2 linked regions of the Arabidopsis thaliana genome follow. The protein of the gene in region 1 binds, or shares a complex with, the protein of each later gene. Each region holds a gene or a part of one and is shown on either strand. Other genes may lie near its edges.

Evidence for each region.
Region 2: LSM1B (region 1) and emb1644 share a complex: the UniProt entries of both Arabidopsis thaliana proteins name them as parts of the heptameric LSM1-LSM7 complex.

Annotation. Positions count from the first base shown.
Region 1 is NC_003074.8:4,665,648-4,669,929, forward strand, and holds LSM1B (Small nuclear ribonucleoprotein family protein), read left to right. Parts: upstream 1-1,660; 5' UTR 1,661-1,844; exon of another isoform or gene 1,845-1,954; 5' UTR 1,955-2,069; coding exon 2,070-2,130; intron 2,131-2,682; exon of another isoform or gene 2,683-2,702; coding exon of another isoform or gene 2,703-2,733; coding exon 2,734-2,802; intron 2,803-2,893; coding exon 2,894-3,009; intron 3,010-3,094; coding exon 3,095-3,157; intron 3,158-3,264; coding exon 3,265-3,342; 3' UTR 3,343-3,547; downstream 3,548-4,282. Other genes in the region: AT3G14075 (Mono-/di-acylglycerol lipase, N-terminal;Lipase, class 3), read right to left, coding at 1-8, 92-289, 395-691; EXO70D3 (exocyst subunit exo70 family protein D3), read right to left, coding at 3,861-4,282. UniProt on the Arabidopsis thaliana protein: Component of the cytoplasmic LSM1-LSM7 complex which is involved in mRNA degradation by promoting decapping and leading to accurate 5'-3' mRNA decay.
Region 2 is NC_003076.8:9,813,445-9,818,150, forward strand, and holds emb1644 (Small nuclear ribonucleoprotein family protein), read left to right. Parts: upstream 1-2,055; 5' UTR 2,056-2,301; intron 2,302-2,422; 5' UTR 2,423-2,459; coding exon 2,460-2,462; intron 2,463-2,560; coding exon 2,561-2,602; intron 2,603-2,734; coding exon 2,735-2,833; intron 2,834-2,938; coding exon 2,939-3,016; intron 3,017-3,085; exon of another isoform or gene 3,086-3,223; intron 3,224-3,443; coding exon 3,444-3,480; intron 3,481-3,611; coding exon 3,612-3,719; intron 3,720-3,837; coding exon 3,838-3,860; 3' UTR 3,861-4,174; downstream 4,175-4,706. Other genes in the region: AT5G27710 (T-box protein), read left to right, coding at 1-68, 143-220, 295-437, 828-898, 1,016-1,111, 1,257-1,349, 1,492-1,574. UniProt on the Arabidopsis thaliana protein: Component of LSM protein complexes, which are involved in RNA processing. Component of the cytoplasmic LSM1-LSM7 complex which is involved in mRNA degradation by promoting decapping and leading to accurate 5'-3' mRNA decay.

The sequences.
Region 1 (4,282 bases):
TTCAATATCTACATGGTGCAAAATTCAAAACTAAACTTCTCAATTTCTATGTTGAAAAAGTGCCTAAGAGTTGAGAGTTGTTAAAGTTTACCCCAGCTTTGGGTTCATGAATAAGGACATTTTCCTTTGTAAAGCCGGTCTCTTCTAAGAAAAACGGAAACGACTTCTTGGAAAAATGCCAACACAATGTCAACAAGTGCAAAAGATATTTGAGTTCAGTGGCTACTTCTGATCCTCTAAGTTCTACACTATCTTTACCACCAAAGACACGATCAACATGTAGAAGTCCCTACGGTTTTAGGTACACAATTACAAAAAGTTCAATTTTGACCACAAGATAATTAGAAAAAAATCCAGAACTTAAGACCGTTAAAACGATGAAGAGATGTTATACCTGCCTCTTGATGAGAAAATTGATCCCAAACGCAAGATCACCAATAGGCCACTTCCCAAGAGTCTCAGAGTAAGTAAAACGAAGAGTCTCAGAAAGAGTAGAAATAGTCTCCAACCAAGTTGCCGGAGCTTGAATAAGCCTATGCGAAACACGGTCAATCCTCAAAGAAGGACGAGAAGCAGAAGCTTCAGAATTCTCATCGTCAACGTCAGATGGACCAGCTATTAATTTCCGATTCAACGTGTAATATAAAAGAGCAGCTGCTCCAGCTGCTGTTGCCATAGTTGCAGTTGCCATGATCAATCTATCCCTAAAATCATCAATGAAACAAATTCGCTCAATCCAAGACGAAACTCAATCTAATAAGAATACAAAATTTAAAGACAAAATCGATTGAAACTACATTGGATGCCACAATTTCAATCTCCAGATGCGTTCTTAAGTATCTCAGACTTATTCCAGAAATCTCCAAAAACATGTAAAGCTGGAAAATTGGATATAATTTCGTACAAAGAACATTCTTTTCACCAATTAACCCCAAAGAATTCGGGATACAAAAAAAAGAAGCCATTAATAGAAAACTCTCACTTTCCTGAAACTTCTCGAATACCACAACAAACCCTACTCCTGATAACTATCGCGTCTTTTAACCGATGCAAATCATAAAATTGAATGTGATTTAGCTTAAAATTGAACAGGATCGGTGAACTATAGAAACAAAACCCTAAATCCTACCCCAAGAATAGCATCGTTAAAACACGAAGTTCTTTGTGAATCAAACCTGGAAAAATAAGACGAAATCGTGACCTTAATTTGAGGGTTTTACAGTGGAGAAGGAAGGTTAAGGTTGCTTTAGCTTATGTACGATATCTCCGGGAAGGGGAAGCTGCTTTCTCTCCGATGATGTTGTTAGCTACAAGATGCTGCAATGCAAAAGTGTGAAAACAGAATTTTTTGTTTTGCTTTAAATAAACTGCGCTACGTTTTTGTGCTAAGCGAACGCCGCGTAGTTTCGCGCCGCCGAGATCTGATGCTTACGTGGGAATATATTATTGGATGACTTACCCATAAAAGCGTTTTAACATAAATCAAGCAGTAAATAATAATAGTGTTAAATCGACTTTTTTGGTCCATAAATTAAAATTTATTCGAAACAGATATTTTATTAGCTTGGAAGATTAGTCTCATTTATTTAAGAAACATTCAGTCACAATAATTATTAGGAAATTTAACATTAAATTGGAAAGTGCTTAAAGTATTAAAGTACAACGTCTTATCTATCGAGTTAAGAAATCGTGGACATTGCTTGAAAATAATAAAAAAGGGACAGTGGACGGATTTGCTCGCTAGTTTTCTCTTCGAATTTTCCACAAACAAATTTTCTCAGCCAAAGTTCGATCGGATCTGGGTTTTATATTTTTTTGAAGAACCCGTGTCCGTCTTCGATCAGGTGTCGAAAGTCTCAATCTTTTTTAATCACTTTATCAATTTAAACCCTTTGGTCAAAACCCTAATTTAGATTTCTCTTTCCGTCTTCACTTTTTTTTTTTCCTGTCAAAGTTCGCGTTCAATAGCCAAATCTTATCTCTTCAGCTGGAATCTGACGAACATTATTATCATCGGTAGTGTTCTATAGAAAGACCGAAAGTTTTCTTCAATTTCAAAGTCAGTGGCGATGTCGTGGGCTGGTCCTGAAGAAATTTATCTTTCAACATCACTCGCTAGTTATCTCGATAGTAAATCCGTCTCTCTTTCTCTCTGTTTCACATATTTGTTGAACCGTATGAATGCATGTAGTTAAAATAATTGGCCGTGATGGCTCTGTACGCATTTGGGAGCTCAATTTTGCAAACAATTCTCTGTTTTTTTGACGTTTGATTTTGACTTCTTATTGATATATAGGCTGTACTATTTTGTGGCTGTATCCAAAGCTTGTCAATTTTGGTGTTGAATTGTCTCAAAGAGACATTCATTGATTAAGATATTGATTATTGAATCAAAGCTTTAGTTTTTTTTTAATTGGGTCAAATCTAACTGTTCATCAGTTATTGTTGTCAAGCTAAATTTTAGCATGCGTGAGAGATTAGATGTGATTGAGGTTGCTGGCTCACTCTTTATTCAACTTACGAAGTATAAACTTTAACCTTTGTTGAAATTTAATTCACTATCGGCTTTTTGATGTTGGTTCTTTGAGTTTAAAAGTCAATGATCTTCTTTTGCTGATGTTTTTGGGCTATGAGTTAGTTCTCAATCTCATTTGGCGTACCGTTTTCTTTTTTAGATATGAATCAATGTGCATCAGTTACTTATGTATGTTGGCTCTGCTCTTGATGATGCAGGAAAACTACTTGTGCTTCTTAGAGATGGTAGAAAGCTAATGGGAACACTCCGTTCCTTTGATCAATTCGGTATTCACTTTTCTTTCCATGTTTCTAGATTTACGATATTGTTGATGAGCGGGAGAGATTTGACTTTTTTTTGTTCGTTGTAAATACACAGCCAATGCGGTTCTAGAAGGTGCGTGTGAGAGGGTAATTGTTGGTGAACAATACTGTGACATTCCTTTAGGCCTCTATGTAATCCGTGGAGAGAATGTTGTTTTGATTGGTGAGCTGGTAAGACTTCTCCTTGTTTGTCTTTTCTTGCTGTGTCACCTCGTGTTTTCCAATTCACTGAGTTTGACCTTAAACTATGTATTAGGACACGGAGAGAGAAGAGCTTCCTCCACATATGATTCGCGTCTCAGAGGCAGAGATTAAAAGGGTAAGACATCGCATAACATGTTCATTTTGATTAGCCAAATTTGATTCATTTGTGATGCTGTGTGCGTGCTGATGATTTGGTTTTCGGGAATCTGTCTGTTGATGCAGGCACAAAAGGTGGAGAGGGAAGCGAGTGAGCTGAGAGGAACAATGAGGAAGAGAATGGAGTTTCTTGACTTTGATTAAACCAGATTGTATCCCCATTCATTATTGGCTTGATGCTCTGCTTTGGCTCGCAAGTTTTATGATGAGCCTTTTTGGTGTGTTGACTTAGGGGATCGACGCAATTCTTGTGTTTCATTTTGGATGAATATGACAATAAATCTGTGTACTTTTGTCTTTGGATCTATTTACCTTTTTAAGAAAAAAATGTTAAGCAATTTCTTTCTCTATTTTGGAACTTTTAAACAAGGAGCTTGCCTATGGCTACTACCAAACGGAACAAAAATGGAGCAAATGAGTAGAGGACGTCGCACATTGCAAAATTTACATGGTACTTATTGGTTCTGTGATCAATCAGGACTTTTATAAATAGAAGACATATGGCACAAACAACAACACACAAATATGTTCACCTGGAGATTATTCCACCGGGCAGGAAACCCGTGAATAAAAATTCAAAGAATGGTTCTATTTCTATGACATCCTAATGTGACTGAAAAACGAAAGAAAGAAGATAGAACTCTCGGGTTTTCGATCTTCTTTTATCGCCTCCTCAAGTGTGGTGGTGTGGTATATCCTTCGAAGAAATCTAGAACGATGGTCTCGATATCTTCAACCGAATATTTCAAATAGTTCTCAGGGTGTCTTCCACTCTCTATATGACCCCTGAACCTTCCAAGAAACGATCTATAAGCAGGGATTAGATGCTCGGATAGCGATATTCGGAGTTCTTCTCTAAGCTGAGCATCTGGAACCGACCATGTGGACTGAGTCCTGTGAACCTCTTCGAACATTGTATTGAATGCCTTAAACCTCTCTCTTAATGCACTTCTTGATACACCTGAGGAGAAACTCCCACTCACATGTAATCCTTCATCTCTCAAACTATTCAGTACTCTGACCCATGTAGCTCTCTGGTAGTTTGTGGCAGCATGTCTAAATATCCCAGTGAGTTTCCTTAAAT
Region 2 (4,706 bases), on another chromosome or scaffold:
GTCTCGCTGTTGACTCCGGTGGTGATCCCGGTTCAATTCAGCGAACTCTCAATCCGAAAATGATCCCGGTTCGTCTTCAATTTAATGGTTTGATTTGGTTTATTGTTCGTTAGATTGAATTGGTTAAAATTTGGTTTTATAGGTTCCTGATGTTGAACGATCAAGAAAAGATAAATGTCAACTTACTAGAACTCCTTATGGTCGTCATTTTATAGCAGAGGTAAAAAAAGAAGCTATTTTGTGAACTGTTTGATCTTATGGTGTAGTGATCTGATTGATGATGTTAATGAACAGGAAGTGAACTCATATTTCGAGTTCTTGTTTCATCTAATTGAATCTAGGGGACCTAGTGTTGGATTGAATGTTTCATTGAGTAGATATGATTTGTTCCATGGCCATTTATTCCTTGCCTCAGAATCTGGACGCCTTGGAATATTGTAAGTCTCCTTTGTCTCCTCAACACACACTAGGACTCTTGAAATAGTAATGATGATCATGTTCTGTTACTGACTTCGTTGTGTAAGAATCGAGACGCTTTGATAGGCACTAGAATAGTAGATATAAGGGGGTCTAGACCATTTGGTTAATTGGGAGCATTTAGGCTTTGAGAGTGAAGAGAACTCTCTAGGGTTTGTTCTTGTGTTCTTGAATGTAACCAACAGTTATCAATAAAGGAAGAATGGTTTCTGATTCTTAACACAATTGTTGCAGTGTTTTTAGAAAGGTTGAACGTAAGTAATGAGTTTTGGGGAATATTTATAGAAAGTTACATGGTTGAGCTAGGTTTTGAGTACTGTTGTTGACTAGTATCTGATTGGTGATGGTAGGTTTCATGCTAAAGAGTATCCAGCCTATGACAAGAAAGTGTTTCCTTACAACATGGGATATTGCCAGAGAGGTAATATGGGTTCTTGTCCGTGTGACTGTGAGTTTTCTTGCAATCTCTTGAAACATAGAAATGGTCACAGAAATCCCTTAAATCTTCAGTATTATGATTGTATCTCCTTTTTGTTAGGATCTGACGTGAAATACAATGATTCAATGAACTTGAGGAATATCCTTTGGCTTGCACCATTACCTAGCAACTCTTCTCCAGATTGGGTTGCTCCAGGTATAATATCTGTTTTCATCTCTGAGAGTAATAGAAAAGATCTAAACACTTCATAGTTTCAAGATGATCTTGTCTTTCATTAGTATCGTGGAAAACAATTGTAGTGTTACGTTTGACATCTTCCTTTCCTTTGATTGATCTGTAGGTGTACTTGTGGTTCTTGATGCGCATCCGGATGGAATCATATACCGAGATCTCATCCCTGACTATGTTAAGTTTGTAAGAACAATATACGAAGGTTTGAACAACTCTATACCTTCTCTCATCTCACTCATCAATTTGCTTCATTGTAGATCACATTTGATTACACATACATACACTCAAAGTCTCTTAAAGATTTATGCTCTATTGAAACTTTATGTCTTATCCTTCTCCACCAGATGATTTGGGAACAACCGCAGTTGATGTCAATTACTTGAATGTCGGAGCTCACGAACCTGACTATCAGCTTTTCATGTGCTGAAACAAACCAGTTACAGATTCACAATTACACAGTTGTGTGTAATTGAAACTTTGATTAAGATTTAGTTACTGGAGCTGGTCGAGGTTCAATAACGTTCGAGTTGGTTGATAATTTAGAGAGGTCTGAAGTATTGTCGGTTACAAAATAGCTTTAACAATCACATTGCTGAGGCTTTAAGCTTAATTGTAAAAGTTTAGGATTAGATTTGACATATCACTTGGCTTTGTTTGATTCACACAGTTCGCCTTAGTGATGTAAATTAATTAATTTCGAGAGCATCAATAACATATTAATGATTAGTTATTTTCCACCAGGTAACCATTGCCAACGGCTACAAATACACTTTGGTGTAGACAAAGTATACGAAAAATTAAAACAAAAAGCTCCGATGCCGGGAATCGAACCCGGGTCTCCTGGGTGAAAGCCAGATATCCTAACCGCTGGACGACATCGGATTAGTTGGCTAGATTGATATGTTTAACAATATATACTAAAACAGATAATATTATAAAGTTAAGGGACTCGAGTGCAAAACTCAAAAAAGTTCCCATTGACCTAAAACTAAAAGACCACCGATTCATTAGAAATCCATCCCTCTCACTGTCAAAACCCGAGAAGCAGAAAAAAGCAAAAAACAGATTTCGAAGTTTCGACGCCTCTCTATTCTTCGATCTCTTTCATATTTGAATCGTTCACCTTCTTGCCGATCTTCGGAGTATATTACAAGGTTTCTCCCTTTTCTCTCAGATTTTTTTTAGTAGCTGAATTAGGGTTTTTGTTCCGTTTTCGCTATTGCTTCTTCCGCATCTTATAAAGGGTTTAATGTTATACTTCTCTGATGTCATCAGGTTCTTAACGGATCTCTAAATCTTCTGATTTAAGAAGATGGTAAGTTACTAGACAAACTTAGGGTTTTTTTCCTTCTTTCTTGTTTGCGTTAAAGTTTCAATTTTTATTAACTGAAAGCTGTTGTTTTGATTTTATAGCTTCCTCTATCGCTGCTTAAAACTGCTCAAGGGCATCCTATGGTGAGTAAAATTTCGACCCTTGATTACAATTTTGTTATATATGAAGTGAAGCTGAGTTTAAGTGAGCATTGCATTAGGGATCTAAAGGAACTTCCTTTTACTGTAATTTTGAATCTTGTTTTGTTTTGGTAGCTCGTGGAGCTTAAGAATGGAGAGACATACAATGGGCATTTGGTGAATTGTGATACTTGGATGAACATCCATCTGCGTGAAGTCATATGTACATCAAAGGTTATCTTATGTTTTCATATGTTGATACAAATATACTTTGTTTAGACTTCGTGATGAAATTTTGTGTAGCTGACACTCATATATTTTGCTGCTTGATTACTCTAGGACGGAGATAGATTTTGGAGGATGCCGGAATGTTATATCCGTGGTAACACAATCAAGTACCTTCGAGTTCCGGATGAGGTAATTTTTTTTTGTGTGTGTGTGTATATATCTCTTGCTTGATCTAGTTTTTTCTTTGTTCCCCTCTCTCTGGAATGATGATGCTTAGCCAAATCAGATATGTGCTCCAAGAGGCATTTTTCTGTGGAACCTTGTTCAGCAGATGGTGTGCCTCTTGTTGTAGTGCGTCTTAGACGATATCACAGGGAATGGTTATTGCTGACCAGAATGTTGACCCACTTTTATGGACTTTGCTGTGTTGTGTTTCTGATGCGATTTTTCTCTATTGTTTCTACTTTATTTCATTCCCTCTAAAATCAAATTATATTCACATACCATAAACGATATCTTCATCTAGAAGGACAGTCATATGCTGTTTCTATTTATGTTCTTACTGCTGCAACCTAGATTGAGTTAACTGACTTAAATTGATTTCTTCTCTCTTCAGGTGATTGATAAAGTACAGGAGGAGAAGACACGCACAGGTATAGTATTACTCATGTCTATATTGTACCTTTACTGAGATATGCTTCGAGTTTTCTGAGGTGTTAATATTTTGCCAGAGTAGACATTGAGAATACTTCAGGTGTTAATAACGATGGTTGAATATGTGCAGATAGAAAACCACCAGGTGTTGGACGTGGAAGAGGACGTGGTGTGGATGATGGAGGAGCCAGAGGCAGAGGCAGAGGAACTTCAATGGGGAAGATGGGTGGCAACAGAGGTAAAAAATACACAAACAAAGCTTGTCACAAAACTCTGATTTTACTAGAATACTTCAAATATCTGTGTCTTGCCACAATGGGATTTAAGCTAAAACTCTAATATGTTATGAAAAACAGGAGCAGGTCGCGGCCGTGGTTGATGCAACAAGTTTTAAAGACTCGCTGCCAAATCTGCTAACTTCCCATTGTGGAGAAAACCAAAAGTTACATAAGAAGTTGGTCTGTTGTTGGTTTTCTATTAAGTATGTAAGGGATAGGGAGTGTGTTTTTCGATTCTCCTTGTGATCTTTTCGAAAAATGAAATTTGTCTTTTGCCTTTTTGTGGTATATGTGAAATTCCAATTGTTTTCATTTGCGCTTAAAAATGAATCTTTCAGGTCTTGAATTTATATAATTGTTAGAGAATTTATACAATTAACCAACGACAGGGTTTTTATAAGATCTTTGGTCCATCTTACCCTTTTATTATTTTTCTTTTTTTCCTATCTATTCTTTTTTTCCTCTTTCACCGGATTTTCTCCATCACTCGTCGGCATGACATATAAGATTAGATATGATTTAAAAAACGCATGTATTTCAAAGACAAAACATGCTCTTAAGTCTTTACATTGACTTGTAAATTTTTGTCAAGCTATCTAACAAAATCTCATATTTTTTTTTTGGAACAGATTCATATTTTTGTCAAGATTTCATGTTATATAAACAAATTACATGTCTTTTATCCAATATATCATTAGTATTTCATAAAATAACTATGTTTTAATGTAATAATTATACATATCTGTCAATATTTCACGTTATGTAAGGAGTCATATGTATTTCTTCAAATATCATGAAAATTACATATTTTTCTTCACTGTATTTTTACAATTGAATTTTCCTCTTCTCAAATCTATCGGAAGTCTTATTGTAATATTAGAAATTGATAAAGATATTTTCGTCAATATACACCGTCTAACGTGTGAATCCATAGTTCTTTTCTAACA